Elephas maximus indicus: one gene and its partner. The protein of the gene in region 2 purifies or fractionates together with the protein of the main gene of each other region. This does not show direct contact. Links are inferred from orthologs where the notes say so. Each region holds a gene or a part of one and is shown on either strand. Other genes may lie near its edges.

The links. The genes of interacting proteins can lie anywhere in the genome.
Region 1: the proteins of GTF2H4 (region 2) and MNAT1 purify together in Homo sapiens (co-immunoprecipitation; 3 studies listed by BioGRID and IntAct, with this or other methods). This does not show direct contact. The link is inferred for Elephas maximus indicus from reciprocal best matches to the Homo sapiens genes GTF2H4 and MNAT1.

The regions. Positions count from the first base shown.
Region 1 is NC_064828.1:73,065,719-73,072,841, reverse strand, and holds the start of MNAT1 (CDK-activating kinase assembly factor MAT1), read right to left. Parts: upstream 3,898-7,123; 5' UTR 3,693-3,897; coding exon 3,604-3,692; intron 1-3,603.
Region 2 is NC_064819.1:91,217,617-91,224,739, reverse strand, and holds the start of GTF2H4 (general transcription factor IIH subunit 4), read right to left. Parts: upstream 4,580-7,123; 5' UTR 4,403-4,579; intron 3,814-4,402; 5' UTR 3,811-3,813; coding exon 3,671-3,810; intron 3,228-3,670; coding exon 3,123-3,227; intron 2,775-3,122; coding exon 2,643-2,774; intron 2,382-2,642; coding exon 2,285-2,381; intron 2,191-2,284; coding exon 2,102-2,190; intron 1,892-2,101; coding exon 1,780-1,891; intron 1,618-1,779; coding exon 1,549-1,617; intron 1,339-1,548; coding exon 1,255-1,338; intron 1,048-1,254; coding exon 915-1,047; intron 715-914; coding exon 584-714; intron 1-583. UniProt on the Homo sapiens protein: Component of the general transcription and DNA repair factor IIH (TFIIH) core complex, which is involved in general and transcription-coupled nucleotide excision repair (NER) of damaged DNA and, when complexed to CAK, in RNA transcription by RNA polymerase II.

The sequences.
Region 1 (7,123 bases), on a different chromosome or scaffold from region 2:
ATCAGAATGACAAGATTAAAAAATATAAAAATGTTCAATGTCAACAATGACATGCCACAATAGGAATTCCCATACACAGTTGTTGGGAACATAACTGATACAATCTTTTTCAGGAACAACTTAGCAATATTCATCAAAATTTAAAAGCCACCTACTCTGACACAACAATTCCAATACTAGACATTCGCCCTATGGTTTACAGATTGTATCTTACGATACACTTACTTAAGTGCTTAAAGAGGTAAGAATGTTTACTCCATGGAAAAATTGGAAACCTAAACATTTACTTAAAAAAGATTGGTTACATAAATTACAGTATAACCAAACAGTTGAGATGCTAGTCAACTGTTAAAAATGAAGAAGACATATATACTGATTTAGAAAAATAACCAAGGTATACTTAATGCAAAAAGTAAGTTTACAATAAGATGCCATATATGCTGGTAGGAGAAAAGGTTTCCTACCTAAACACACATTCATGCTTGTATATGCATAGAAGATGTCTGGAAAGATACAGCAGCAACATAAAAGCTTTTACCTTTGGGGAAATGAATCAGAGATATTTTCACTTAATATCCTCACGTTGCTTCAACTATTAATTAATTGTTAATATGATTGTTTTAATTTTTTAATTACAAAAAAAAAAAAAACTAGTGAGCTCTCTCCTATACTCACCGATACAGAGCAGAGCTGTATTCTAGTTTAAAATAATTCTTAAAACACCTGTTGCCATAGAGTCAATTCCAACTCATAGTGACCCTATAGGACTGGGCAGAACTGCCCCATAGGGTTTCCAAGGCTTTAATCTTTAAGGAAGCAGACTGCCACCTCTTTCTCCCACCAAGGGGCTGGTGGGTTTGAACCTTAAACATTTCAGTTAGAAGCCAAGCACTTAACCACTGTACCACCAGGGCTCCTTAATTCATAATAATTCTTAATGGACTTGATGAGCCTGAGACCAGAAGAACTAGATGGTGACCAGTTACCACCAATGACTGCAGTGACAGGGAACACAACAGAGAATCCCTGATAGCGCAGGAGGAAAGTGGGTTGGGTGCAAAACTCAAATTCTAGTAAAAAGACCAGACTTAATGGTCTGATTGACACTGGAGGGACCCCAGAAGACATGGTCCCTGGACTCTCGGTTAGCCCAAAACTAAAACCATTCCCAAAGCCAACTCCTCAGACTACAGACATACAATGACACTGGTGAGGAGTGTACTTCTTACCTCAAGTAGACACATGAGACTAAGTGAGCAGCTCCTGTCTATAGGCAAGATAAGAAAGCAGAGGGGGAGAGGAGCTGGCTGAATGGACACAGGAAATACAGGGTGGAGAGGAGGAGCAGTATGCTGTCACATTATAGGGAAAGCAACTAGGGTCACATAACAACGTCTGTATAAGTTTTTGTATGAGGAACTGACTTGAACTGTAAACTTTCACTTAAAGCACAATCAAAAAAAGAAAACTACAATATGATCATAATAATTAAAGTTATATTTTAAAATAATCATTATTGTGCTAGTATTTAATAGCAAGCCAAATAAACCCTCTTAATTTTATTTCTGCCTATTACTCATACTGGAAACCCTGGTGGCATAGTGGTTAAGTGCTACAGCTGCTAACCAAAGGGTCGGCAGTTCGAATCCTCCAGGCACTCCTTGGAAACTCTATGGGGTAGTTCTACTCTGTCCTATAGGGTCACTATGAGTTGGAATCGACTCGACAGCACTGGGTTTGGTTTTTATCACTCATACTGTTGTTGTTGTTAGGTGCTGTTGAGTCGGTTTTGACTCATAGTGACCCTATAGGACAGAGTAGAACTACCCCACAGGGTTTCCAAGGAGTGGCTGGTGAATTTAAACTGCAGACCTTTTGGTTAGCAGCCGAGCTCTTAACCACTATGCCAGCTGGGCTCCATCATATTACCCACATGATGTGATAGCCAATATATATGGAGCACATACTATGTGACAAGAACTCTACTAAATACCTCCAAATATTTTACATATGTTGTTAGTAGAGGGTCAACATAAACAAGGGAAACTCTCAATAAAATGGACGGACACAATAGCAACAACAACGGATTCAAACATGCCAACAATCATGAACATGGCACAGAACTGGGCAACATTTTGTTCTGTTATATACATAAGGTTGCCGTGTGTCAGAAGCAACTCAAGGGCATATAACAACAATTTAATCCTTAAGCACTCTAATAAAAGTACCATTACCATCTCTGTTTGAGACATAATATCTTGCCCAAAGTCACACAAGAGTAAAGAATTTGAAATCAAGCAGACTGATTCCAGAGCTTATTCTCTTAACCAATACCCTACACTGCCTTCTTGAATGACACTGTAGTATATACCCTCTTGAATTTAGGAGGTTTTCTTTTATTTTTTTTATACTTCAAGTCAAAAAAGGAATGCAAAGTGTAGTCTGCATCTAACATGTTAACAAATAAACCAAAATAAATACAATACCAGAATGAATTAGAAAATTCTTATGAGATAACAAAACAGACTAAGGATACAATGAAAGCAATTTCCAAAATAAATATTATATAACTAATAAAAATGCCATTTATTTTACTGAAATTCCATAATCTTCCCTAATTGGTTGATTAGTACTAGGCAGAAATTTCTTCCAGTCAATTAAACATCCTTCCAAAAGAGCATACTTGGTCATCTATCTCCCTTTCCTTCGGCACCAAATGTAACAAACTTAATACAAGAAAATGGAAATAAACTGGATAAAATCTAAAAACCTAACCGTCTCTCTACAATGCTTGCCTCCCTTCTTTTTTCCACGCATCCTATTTGATTATGTTTACCTTATTTCTAATGTTAAACCATTCAGTCAGAGCTCTACTGTACTCCTTTGCTGGGTAAGTCAAAGATAAATAAAGATTAATTAGAAAAAGGAACCAATCAAGTAATTTCATAAGTTCTATCATGATACCAATACCTACTTCCTAGGGCTGTTCTGGGAATGAACTAAAATAATTCATGGTAAAAAGCTTAAAATAGTGGCTGGCACCTAGTGAACGTACAATAGGTCCAAAATTAACTGCCTGGAGTTCGGATTTTCTCCCTTTTAGTGATGAGACTATCACCGAACTCTTTTTTTTTTTTTTTTTTGTATCAGGACAACTGGGCATACAGATGAGGTTTTCAAATTATCCCATACAATAAATAGCAGCTGTATATACTCGTAGAAATTTTAACTTTTTTTTTTTAATGTGAAACTAAAGAAACACTCCAAGCCCTCACCCCCACACTTTTAAGCAGCGACATGTGTGGAGCCCACTGGACACCCCAGAGCCCGGAAATAAGTCGAGATTCCCAGGCACCACGGAGGAGGACCCTGACCAACAGCGGGGCACCGCATCGGAGCACCGCTAGCCCAAAGCAGGCCGGGATCGCTCCGCGCTAGCGGCTACCGTCCGTTTACAGAAAGCAACGCTCCCTCTTGCCGTTTTCCTCCCTTTTGTCGAAACTAACGACGCCCTTTACTGTCCTGACCCCAGGCAGAGCATCTCCCGGCTCTCCTCCCACCCTGCGCCTCGCCCCGACTGGAAACCACTGTCGCCGTACTCACAAAGTGTGTCCGCACACATTCACCATCAGCTTCAAGGAGGGGTTCCGGTACTTGGTGGTCTTACACCGGGGGCAGCCCTGATCGTCCATAGCTCCTTCACCCTTACAAACTCGCCCCGAAGCCTGCTTCAGCCACAGCCCCCTCCAAGACCCTCGGTATTGACGCCAAGCAAGTTCTCACCAACCGGCACTTGTCAGTGACGGTCCCTTCGTGAATGAGCACCGGCCGGGGCGAGGCTCTACAGTACAAACGTTCCGGCTGCGAGTTCTCTGGTCCTGCTCTGGGGCTCTGTCTTAGCGGCGCAACACCTTGGTTTGGGAAAAAAAAAAAAAAAAAAAAAAAACTTTTATTTAAAGAACAAGTGACTTTTAATCCATTCGTCTGTGAGTTTGAACTATATGGTATCATTTCCTTTAAGACAGAGATTAACTCTAATACCTGTGTATTCTAAAAAAAATACAACTGTACAGTAAATGAACAAATCTGTAATTTAACATCACATACTATATCATTGTAATGATGCTAAACCACTCAAGACTTAGAAAAAGAACATTTCTTTTCTTTAGGTGCTGAATGTGATTTTACTCGCTGAGCCTTCACATGAATGGTGTCTGGGCACTATTTTTTCTTTCTTTTTTAGCGTTTCTTACACGTACGATTCAGTGACATCAATTAAGACCATCATGTTGTACAACCATCACCGCTATCAGAAAAAAAAAAAACTTTTAAAAGGCAAATTGTACACCTCTCACCTCTATGCACTTAGTCACATTTTTTCAATGTGCTACGTCACAATTACGACGAAAAATTCCATTTTCTATCTAAAAATATTTCCATGATTTCAAAGATTTGTTCTGGTGTACATATTTGATAATTCAGACTAGTATTTTCTTTTGGACAGTTTGATGGCCTGTGCTTTATACTTTTATACTTGTACAGCCAGACATGCAAGCATAGAAAATACAATGCATTCTCAGATATGCAAAGTTTAGAAAATTTATCTAGAATTACAGTCCCTGTACCAACTCTAAATACTACAGATTCTCACTAAATAGCAGAATATTAATATAAATAATATCTGGCATCTGCTCTGCAGAGACCTGCTCACCTGAAGACTGTCAAACGGGCCCAATAGTGTCAAGTGAGCCTAATATTTCCTCCCTATTCCCACTCAACCAAAGACAACATTTATTTTCCCAAATACTGGGGAAAAAACTTAGAAAAATATATGCAACTTTCTTTCAGCAATTCCAAGATCTAAAACTGGAATCTCTTTGGAAATTGTAAGCCACATTCAGTGCATTTATCAAGGCTATAAAATAAAGTCTATAAATGGCTCTATTAAATAAAAAACTGTTCCCATTGTAAGGGACTGAATCTTAATGACCTCCATAGCACATCTCAATAAGGACTTGTGAATATGTATTGAATAAGTAGAGTAAATGTATGACTGATCATCAAATAATAGTACAAAGTGAAAATCTTTATGCCAAACATTATCTCTCTTGCAATCACCTTCACCTGACCTAAATTCCATCCAGACAAGTGGGCATGCAGAAAAGATTTTCAAATCAACCCACACAATGATTGGAAGCTGTATACATTCATAGTAATTTTAACTTTTCATGTTACTTTCGTTCTTTTCAATTAAAAAAAAAACTCAACCTTCATACTTTTAAACAGTGAACCCACTTGGCAACCTGTAACATGGAAATACAGTTGGGATTTACATGAGTTATGGAGGGAAAACCTGACAACAGCTGAATATCATATGAGAGAACCAGCAGCCCAAAGCAGGCCATGGCAGTGCAAGCTTTATATTAGTGTAAAGACAAGTCACCCAACAAACAAATCATGTCCTTGATCATAATATTTATTATTCATTAAAAGAAGCTAACAAAATGTAAGTTTACTAAAATTGACAACACCCAACATGGCCCGACCTACAGGCTTATTGTGTTCCTTTTACCTTATTGAAAGAGATCACAGTGTTTAATCCCAACTGTTTACATGACTCACAGTGAAGCTCTCCAAGAATAAAGCCAACTTTTAAGGTCTTTCTACTTTAACAGAACAGGAAAATCCTGATGAAAGAATGAATATGGCCAGAGTGCAAATGAAATTTTGAACCAGCACCATATCAAGAAGTCAAACACTCAGTCGGCATTACTGTTTATTACCAACAGGACAGTTTGAATCATGTCTTTTAACAGGAGACCCCCACCACATTGTGAAGTTAATTGCATTTCCTGCCTCCTAGCCTTGAGATCAAGGCAAAGAAAAGCAGGTGGGAAAGTACCAGCAGGGAAGCGTGGTGGCAACAGGTGGTTTGGAATTCTATCAGATAAACTTTGGCCATGGAGCTAGAGGGAATAAAAACTAGTGCTTGTAGATGTGGCTTCTGGCACCAAGTGCTGGCTTCATCACTAACTAGCTATGTGACCTTGGGCCTTACTTCTCTCAGCTTTAAACTAAGGATAATACTTGCAAAGATTAAATGAGATATTTCATTAAAAGTACTCAACACAGGGAGGCGGGGCCAAGATGGCAGATTAGACAGACGCTTCCGGCAAGCCCTCTTACAACAAAGACCTGGGAAAAAAAAAAAGTGAAACGATTATATTTATGACAAGCTAGGAGCCCTGAACATCAAACACAAAGTTAGAAAACATACTGAGTGGCACGGGAAGGAAGAGACCGTTAAGAAAAGGAGAGGAGTTACCGGACCTGAGTTGCCAGGAGCCCTCAGGCACCATTCGCGGAGTGGCTGCGGCAGGCTGGTACTAGCGTTTGGCCAAAGTTTCCTCACGGAGAAGCAGACAGCCACACAGCCTACTCACACCTCCAGAACCAGAGAACAGTGCTCTCGGCAAAAGCGAAGTACTTGCAAATATTTTACTGTGCCCCCGCCCACCTCCAAAGCTGACTTCATTGGCTGTTAATTTCCCTGGGCCTGAAAAAGGCCTGAAAAGCCATTCTCCTGCTCTTGAAGAAGGAATAAAATTGCAATTGGGGGAAAAGATAATTTGCCATCTCCACTAACCAGGGGCGCTCAGGACAGAAGCAGCTCCTGTCCAGGCATAAACAGTCTGTGGACTTTGAGTATCTTTCCCCTCTGCATGGACCTCTGTGGGCCTATTTCAGAAGAACAGGTCCCTGTTGGCAGACTACAACTGTTACAGTTGTGCGGTGAGGTGGTGGGTGTTTGATGTTTGACACCACTTTACCTATTAAACAGCATCCTCACCTACCCACATCAGGGGCCTAAGAACTGGTGGCTCCACTCAGGTCAGGCAGTCACCTGCAACAGGGGTCCAAGGATAACTGGTACCTCCTAATCCTTACAAACAAAAACATTGGGTGCTCATGGGCCATCTGCAGAATCCACCCACCTGTACACTCTAGGGAAGAGGGACGCGCTTTCCTCAGAAATGCTTGGGGGACAATTCACAGCCCCCTGCCTTGTTGAGAGTGTGACCCCCTGCTGCAACCAGATACCAGTACCTACACCAATCACCCC
Region 2 (7,123 bases):
GTATCAACTTACTCTGTTTAAAAACACATAACCACATCCCTCAACACTTGTGCCTGTCACCATCCCTGTCCAGCTGTTCCAAATTGCTGCTCCTACTGGTCATGTCTGCTACCCCTTCTCCAGGGCTTTTGCCCTTTCCAGAGCCTGGTTTTGCTTTCCTTTTTTTTAAAGTCGCAGCAGCTAATTTTTTTTTAGCATTTACTGAATGGTAGGCTCTGGGCTAAATGCTTTACCTCTCATTGAATCCTCCCAGCAACGCTGTGATGTAGAAAATGTCATTATTCCCATTTTCCAGAAGAGGAAACTGAGGCTTACAGAAGTGAAGCAAACAGGACCAGTTTACACAGCTAGGAAGTGGTGGTGCTGAGACACAAATCCAGGGTTTTCCCTCCTTCCACGTTTTTTCCTTTTAAAGGTCTGTCTGTTCCGACACCTAGAGCACTGACTTCTCCTGTGCCTGGTGCTCAAACACAAACACACCCCCAACTCCACCTACTGTAACAGGCCTGGTACTAGCCTTCTGTAACGTGACTACCTTGTACCCCACGGCCCAAGTGCAGCCCATCTTCCCATGTGAGGATACCTGCTGGGCTGTGATGCCACTGGCGATAGCCTGCTGCACACTCTCCCGGGTCACCTGCGCCACCACCATGTTGGGGAAGCGATAAAGCATCTCAGAGAAGAGGGCAATGAGAGCGATCTGCAGTTCCGACTCTGGCCAGTGGTAAGAAGAGAGGATGAAGACACCCACACCCGGACCCTCTCAAGCCCCTCCTACAAATGTGATAAGGAACGTCAGGGAACTGTGTAAACATGCAGGTGCCTGGGAGATCTGAACATAAACCAGCACTCCCTCCTGCTCTCTGCCCCCCTCTTCGCCCACCCTCCCCTCCCAGCCCTCTGTCTGTCCTCACCCGTGTAGGCATATAGTCGGTAATTAGTTTCCACTATGATGAAGCCAGGCTGATGCGCAGTGCCCCCAGCCCCAGAGACACCTGATGAGAGATTGATGGCCAGGCGTGTGGGGTAGTAACGCCGAGATTTCCTCTGGAAGGACAGAAGGGAAGGACAGAGGGCCCTCAGGTGTCACTGCCTGACACCTCCCTGCCTAAAACTCAGGTCCCTCCCCCTGCACAGAACCTCGGCCCCCAACTTCTCTCCCCTAGGGACCAAACATGCAGTCCTGGCAACTGCTTCCTGCTACTGCCTCTACCCTGGCTCTTCCCTAGGATCCATGCATCTGGGTGCTTGTACCTTCCTCTGGAAAACGAGTCCAAACTCACGAAGATGTTGCAGGAAGTTCAACAGAGAATCACTCATACCTTCCACAGAGTAATCCTAGAGAAGAGAGGTGGCCACCTGGGGTCCAAAACACATCCCCTCCTCTCTCCCCCAATCCCATATGCTCATGCCTCCTTTCCCATCTCTGGTCATTCTTTGTCCAATCTTACCTCCTTACTCTACTGCTCCATAACCTGAATTCCCCTTCCCATCAACCTACCCCCTCAGTCCACCCACCCAAGCCCCCAGCTCCAGCCCCCTGCTTACCTTGCCGAGAGTAGAGAAGCTAAGCTGGAAGAGGAAGGAGAGAATCTCCACTAGGTCCATGCCCCGGCTCTAGGGAGGAAGGGGCAGAGAAAAAGAGGAAGGATAGGAGGGAGAAAAGGGAGGAGAAGGAGAAAAGAGAAAATCAGGAAACAGAGCCTATAGGTGGGGGTCTCTCATTGGGAGTTGTCTTGGGAAGAGCAGAGCAGGCTGGCAAGCAGCCCCTGGCCTCACCTGGGCTGTCTGCAGATACTGCAGCATAAAGTACCAGAGCTGGGCAGGGGTATCCAGCAGCAGAAACTGGAAGCCAGCGGAAGTAATGCAGGGTGGCTCTCCAGGTTCAGCACTAGGGACACAGACAGGGACGATGGTGGAGATACACAGAGAAGGGCCACCATCCCCACTTGCCCTCTCACTTTTTTTGGTTTGTTTTTGGTATCTTTGGCCTTACTCCACCCAGCTCTCCTTTTTTCAGCCAACCCCTCCAATCCTGATCCTCCCGAGACACCCAGTTTAGCAGGGACCCAAGGAGACAGCAAAGCAGGAGCTGTTGTACCTCTTCATGAGCCCAGCCTGGCTGAGGAGCTGTGCCAAGTCCTGGCTGACAGCTGCACTGGGGGAGCCCACCATGAAGTGCAGGACTACCTAAGAAATGGAAAAGAACAGAGAGAGTGATGCCTCTAAGGGCCACAGGTAAGTAGCAGCATGAACAGAGACACACACAGTCCCAAGTCCTCACCTCCCATCGCTCCTCAGCATACTTGTCCAGGGAGGGAACGTCCCGGGCATGCTTGTCTGGTCCTAGCTGACTTGTGTCATCAGACCAGGCCTTTCCTCTATGGCCAAAATGGGCCAAGAGTAAGGAACCTGCCCTGTGCTCCCCACCTACCCCCGCCCCCTTTCCCCCCTTATCCCCATGGAACATGAGTGGGGGACATTTCCTACCCCACCCAGCTACATCTGGTCCAACTGATTTATTTATAAAGGGGCTCCCAAAGGTGCACCCACAAGGTTACAGGGAGGCCCCTTGGGAGTTAGCCCCCAAGAAGTTTATCATTTCCCCTGTCCTAGGTGAGGAAGAGATGGAGGTGACATACCCACCCAGAAGGGCAATGCGGAGGTTCTGACGGAAGATGGGGTTGAGGATGAGGCCCTGGAGACCTCCAGGGAGCAGCTGGGTGTGCCAGATACGGAGGCCGCTCAGCAGCCCTGTACTTTCCTCCTGAGCCCTGAAACAGAAGCAAAGAGGTGACTTGGGTGTCTGGAGAACAAAAAGAAGTAGGCCCATAAAAGCTTTGATTTCTGCCTTTTCTGAACCAGAGATCCTTAGAACACTGTTCCAGAGTGAAATCAGTGTCTTAAATTTCTTTACTCTAACGCTTATCAGAGCATCTCAGTACATATCGTGGCTCTCCGAGAGGGAAATATAGCATGCAGAGTTCCCAAACTTAATTACAAGCTTTGTGGCATACCCATTAATACCATTAATACTTCCCGGGAGTGTTCGAAGGAACAGCAGTTTGGGAAATACACCTGCTGGGAAATTTGTATCTGGTGAGAAAGCAGTAGAGACTCACTTGCTGAATTCCTTCTTCACCCACAGGGCTACAGCAGCTTGTGGTAAAGGCTGTTCCAGAAAAAGCATCCGCATCACCCAGTTCTTAGCCAAAGATGGGAGCTCCCTACAGAGGAGTAGATGTCAAATGTTAATGTCAGAAGCTGCCTTATAGCTGCACCTATGCCATCAAAACCAAAAAAAAAAAAAAAAACCCATTGCTGTCAAATAAATTCTAACTCACAGCAACCCAACAGGACAGAATAGAACTGCCCCACAGGGTTTCCAAGGAGCACCTAGTGGATTCGAACTGCCGACTTTTTGGTTAGCAGCTGTAGCTTTTAAGCACTATGCCATCAAGGGCCTCTCAAATGTCCCATCTTAGCCCTCACACCTTTACCAGTCCTGCTGCCCCACAAACTCCATCTATTTTGGCCTACCACCCTTATGAGTAATCTCCAAGTTCTCCAGGGCTGCTAAGCCTCTACCCATGATAACTTATTCAAGTCTGGAGGCCTTCATTGCATTTTCCCCCCACCACATGGTCCCTGCCTTCAAGGGGGTCCTCACCTGAAGACAGCCAGACAGGTGGCAGGATGCCCATACAATCGGTCCAATACCCCAGGGCTCAAGCCCCCTAAGAATTCCTGCAGGTTCCGGCATTGTAGGTGTACTCGGTTCAGTCCGCCCCTTGAAGGGGTGCTCTCCATCACCTGAAGGATGCATTGTTAGAAGAGCACTCCCACCAACCATGCCAGTACCACCCCTCACCTTTCTCATTCTGATTCGAGATCAGATTCAGCCTCCTCCACGATAACCCATCTTTTCTGTGGTTTCCTTTTCCATCTCACTTATCTCCTCCTGTTTCTCCCAAATCTGACCAAGCTCCCCTACTTGCCTGCCTCCTCACACCCTACTTCTGTTAATTGTCCCATGTTTGCAAAAATCATTTTGTATTTCAATGGCTTGTCTCACTTTTAGCTGAGCAGTGGCTAAGAAGCCAGTTTGAACCCAGTCCCCTCCCTCCCTTCCATCCTCCCTGGTCAGATCAGACTATGAGCTCCAAATCTGTCAGTTCTTCCCATCTGCAATTTCTTAGCCCCACTTGTGCTAGGAAACGGCAATAAATTACGTCTCCCTGCCACCGTTTCCCCCCATTCACCGTGATCCCACATAGTCCTAGCTCCTAACTTCTCCCCTACTTTCCTCCCACTCCTCTCCTCTCAATTTCTCTCTCATTTCTCCGCCACCCCCGCCCTCCTGGGTGCCCCTCACCACTCTGGATCGATACCCCTCGCGCACCCCGAGTCTCGAGCAGTCGCTTAATGGGAACTGGTGTCTCGCATTGGCTCCCAGGAATAAGAGAAAGAATGGTGAAAAAAATGCGAGAAAAAGACTGGCAAGAGGGACGAAGGACTTCACAGGCAGGAACTCAGAGCGGAGGATTTAGAAGAGAAAGGAAGGCGTGGAAAAGTGGGGAGGAGAATAGGCGCTGCACTCCCCAGCCGCGGGACATACTGGGAATTGGAGTCTTGTTCTTGTCCATCCCGAAGCAGGCCGAAGCGCGTCTGACTACAACTCCCGAAACGCACCGCGAGAAAGCGGGCAGGAGAGAGGCTGGTTTTTAATTTAGAGAGCTGGGGATACCGGCTGGGCTCTTTCGTTCCGCGGCGCTCTCGACCCACGGTGCTAACATCGCATCTAACCGGCTTCGGCGGCAGGCGGGAGGCGGGTCCCGGGAGTAGATGGGCCCGGAGGGCTTCCGGGCAGAGGCGTGCTGAGGCGGCGCGGTGTGAGGCGCTTAGGCTTAGAGACGTGGGAACTGGGTTCCTTGAGCTTAGTTACTCCCCGTGAAGTTGGGACAGAGCACATTCCCGAAAGTTTGCGCGAGTTTGGAGTTGACACGGTCCAATGAGCCTTGTTGCGCAGTGGTTAAGCGCTCGGCTGCTAACCGAAGGGTCAGCGGTTGGAACCCACCAGCTGCTCCGCAGTAGAAAGATCGGGCAGTCTGCGTCCGTAAATATTTACAGCCTTGGAAATCCTGTGGGGACAGTTCTATTCTGTTTTACAGGGTAGCTATGAGTTGGAATTGACTCCACGGCTATGTAATTGATTCGGTTTTTGGCTATTGCACCTTACTTGGCACGTAAGTACTCAATAAATCTTAATTTCCACCTCCACCACGCAGTCACCTCTCGTTTAGTTAGAAGGTCGTTATAAATACAATTAAAAAAAAAAAGTTGCTCTGATTTGGCTTACAAATCTACTGCAGGGAAAGGGGAGGGGACGTCCTCAGACTAGAAGTACACTTCCCCCCAAGTTCCTATAAGGCAGGTTTTATTATTCCATCTTTACAAACGAAAACTGAAGCCCAGCAAGGTTGAGAGATTTGCCCACAATCAGACAGCTAGACAGTGCAAAAGCTGGAATTTGAAGCACATTTGTGAGGCAGCAAAGGATACTGGACCCAAAATGGTAAGACTTTCTTAGGCTTTGTATTCCCTGTCTGTTTCTTTAGCAGTCAGCGTTTAAAATCCTCAAAACATGATACAAAGCTGACAAAACTCTTTTATGGCAAAAGTTAGAGTTAAAAGACAGATTACGGTCTGGGAAGAAATGTTTGATAAAATAGACAAAATACAAAAAGCTCTTACAAAGCAATAAAAACAAAAGAAAAGCACAAGAGATGAACAGACAATAAACAGAAAAAATACAAGTGCCTTGTAAACAGATGAAAAAACTAAATTTCAGTAGTAATTATGGAAAAGTAAATTGAAACCAAATATCAAAGTAAACCATAAAGTACAAGATTAGCTCAACAATAAAAAACAAAACAAAACAAGGTTTGACAAACTCAGTGTTCACAAGGATATACGAGCATACTCATACAAATTTTTTTCACTTACACACTTTTGTCAAAGGTTGACATACGCCTTTTTAAGGGCAATTTGGCAGTATCTGTCAATAGTTTCAGAGCTCTGGGGGCGCAGTGGTTAAGAGCTCAGCTGCTGACCAAAAGGTCAGCAGTTTGAATTCACCAGCTGCCTCTTGGAAACTCTGTGGGTCAGTTCTCCTCTGCCCGGTGGGGTCTCTATGAGTCAAAAAAAAACTCGAGAGGCAGAGCCAAAATGGCGGAATAGACAGACACTTCTGGGGAGCCCTCTTTACAACAAAGACCTGAAAAAACAAGTGAAACCAGTATGTTTGTGACAAGCTGGGAGCCCTGAGCTTTAAAGGCAAGCTTAGAAAACGAACTGAGGGGCAGGGGGAGGAAGAGACCATTCAGAAGTGGAGAGTGGTTATCGAACCTGAATCGCCGGGAGCCCTCAGGCACCATTCCTGGAGCGGCAGCGGCGGCGGGCTGGTAGTAGCATTTGGCCACCGTTTCCTCAGGAAGAAGCAGCCAGCCTTACAGCCCACTCACACCTCCGGAACCTGAGGAGAACAGTGCTCTTGGCAAAAGCTAAGTACTTGGGTATATTTTACCATGCCCCCCCACCCCCAAGCCAGCTTCAGAGGCTGAACTCCCTGGGCCTGAGATAGGCACTGTTCAGCACCTAGAGCCATCCTCCCAGCCTTGGGGAAGGAAAAAATTTGCATTTGGGAGAAAAGATAATTTGCTAGTTCCACTAACCCGGGGACCTCAGGACAGAAGCAGCTCCTCTCCAGGCATAAACCATCCGTGGACTTTGAGCACCTTTCCCTTCTGCATGGACGTGTGTGGGACTATTTCGGGAGAATAGGCCCTTGTTGGCAGACTCTGACCATTTCAGCTGTGCGTTTAAGAGGTGGGTGTTTGATGTTTGACATTGCTTTGCCTATTAAACAAGGTCCCCACCTACCCATATCAGGGACCTAAGGACTGGTAGCTCCACTCAGGTCACTCAGGTCACCCAGCCACCCGCGACAGGGGTCCAAAGATAACTGGTACCTCCCAGACCTTACAATCAAAAACTTTGGGTGCCCATGGTCCGTCTGCAGAACCCACCCACCTGCACACTCTAGGGAACAGGGACATGCTTT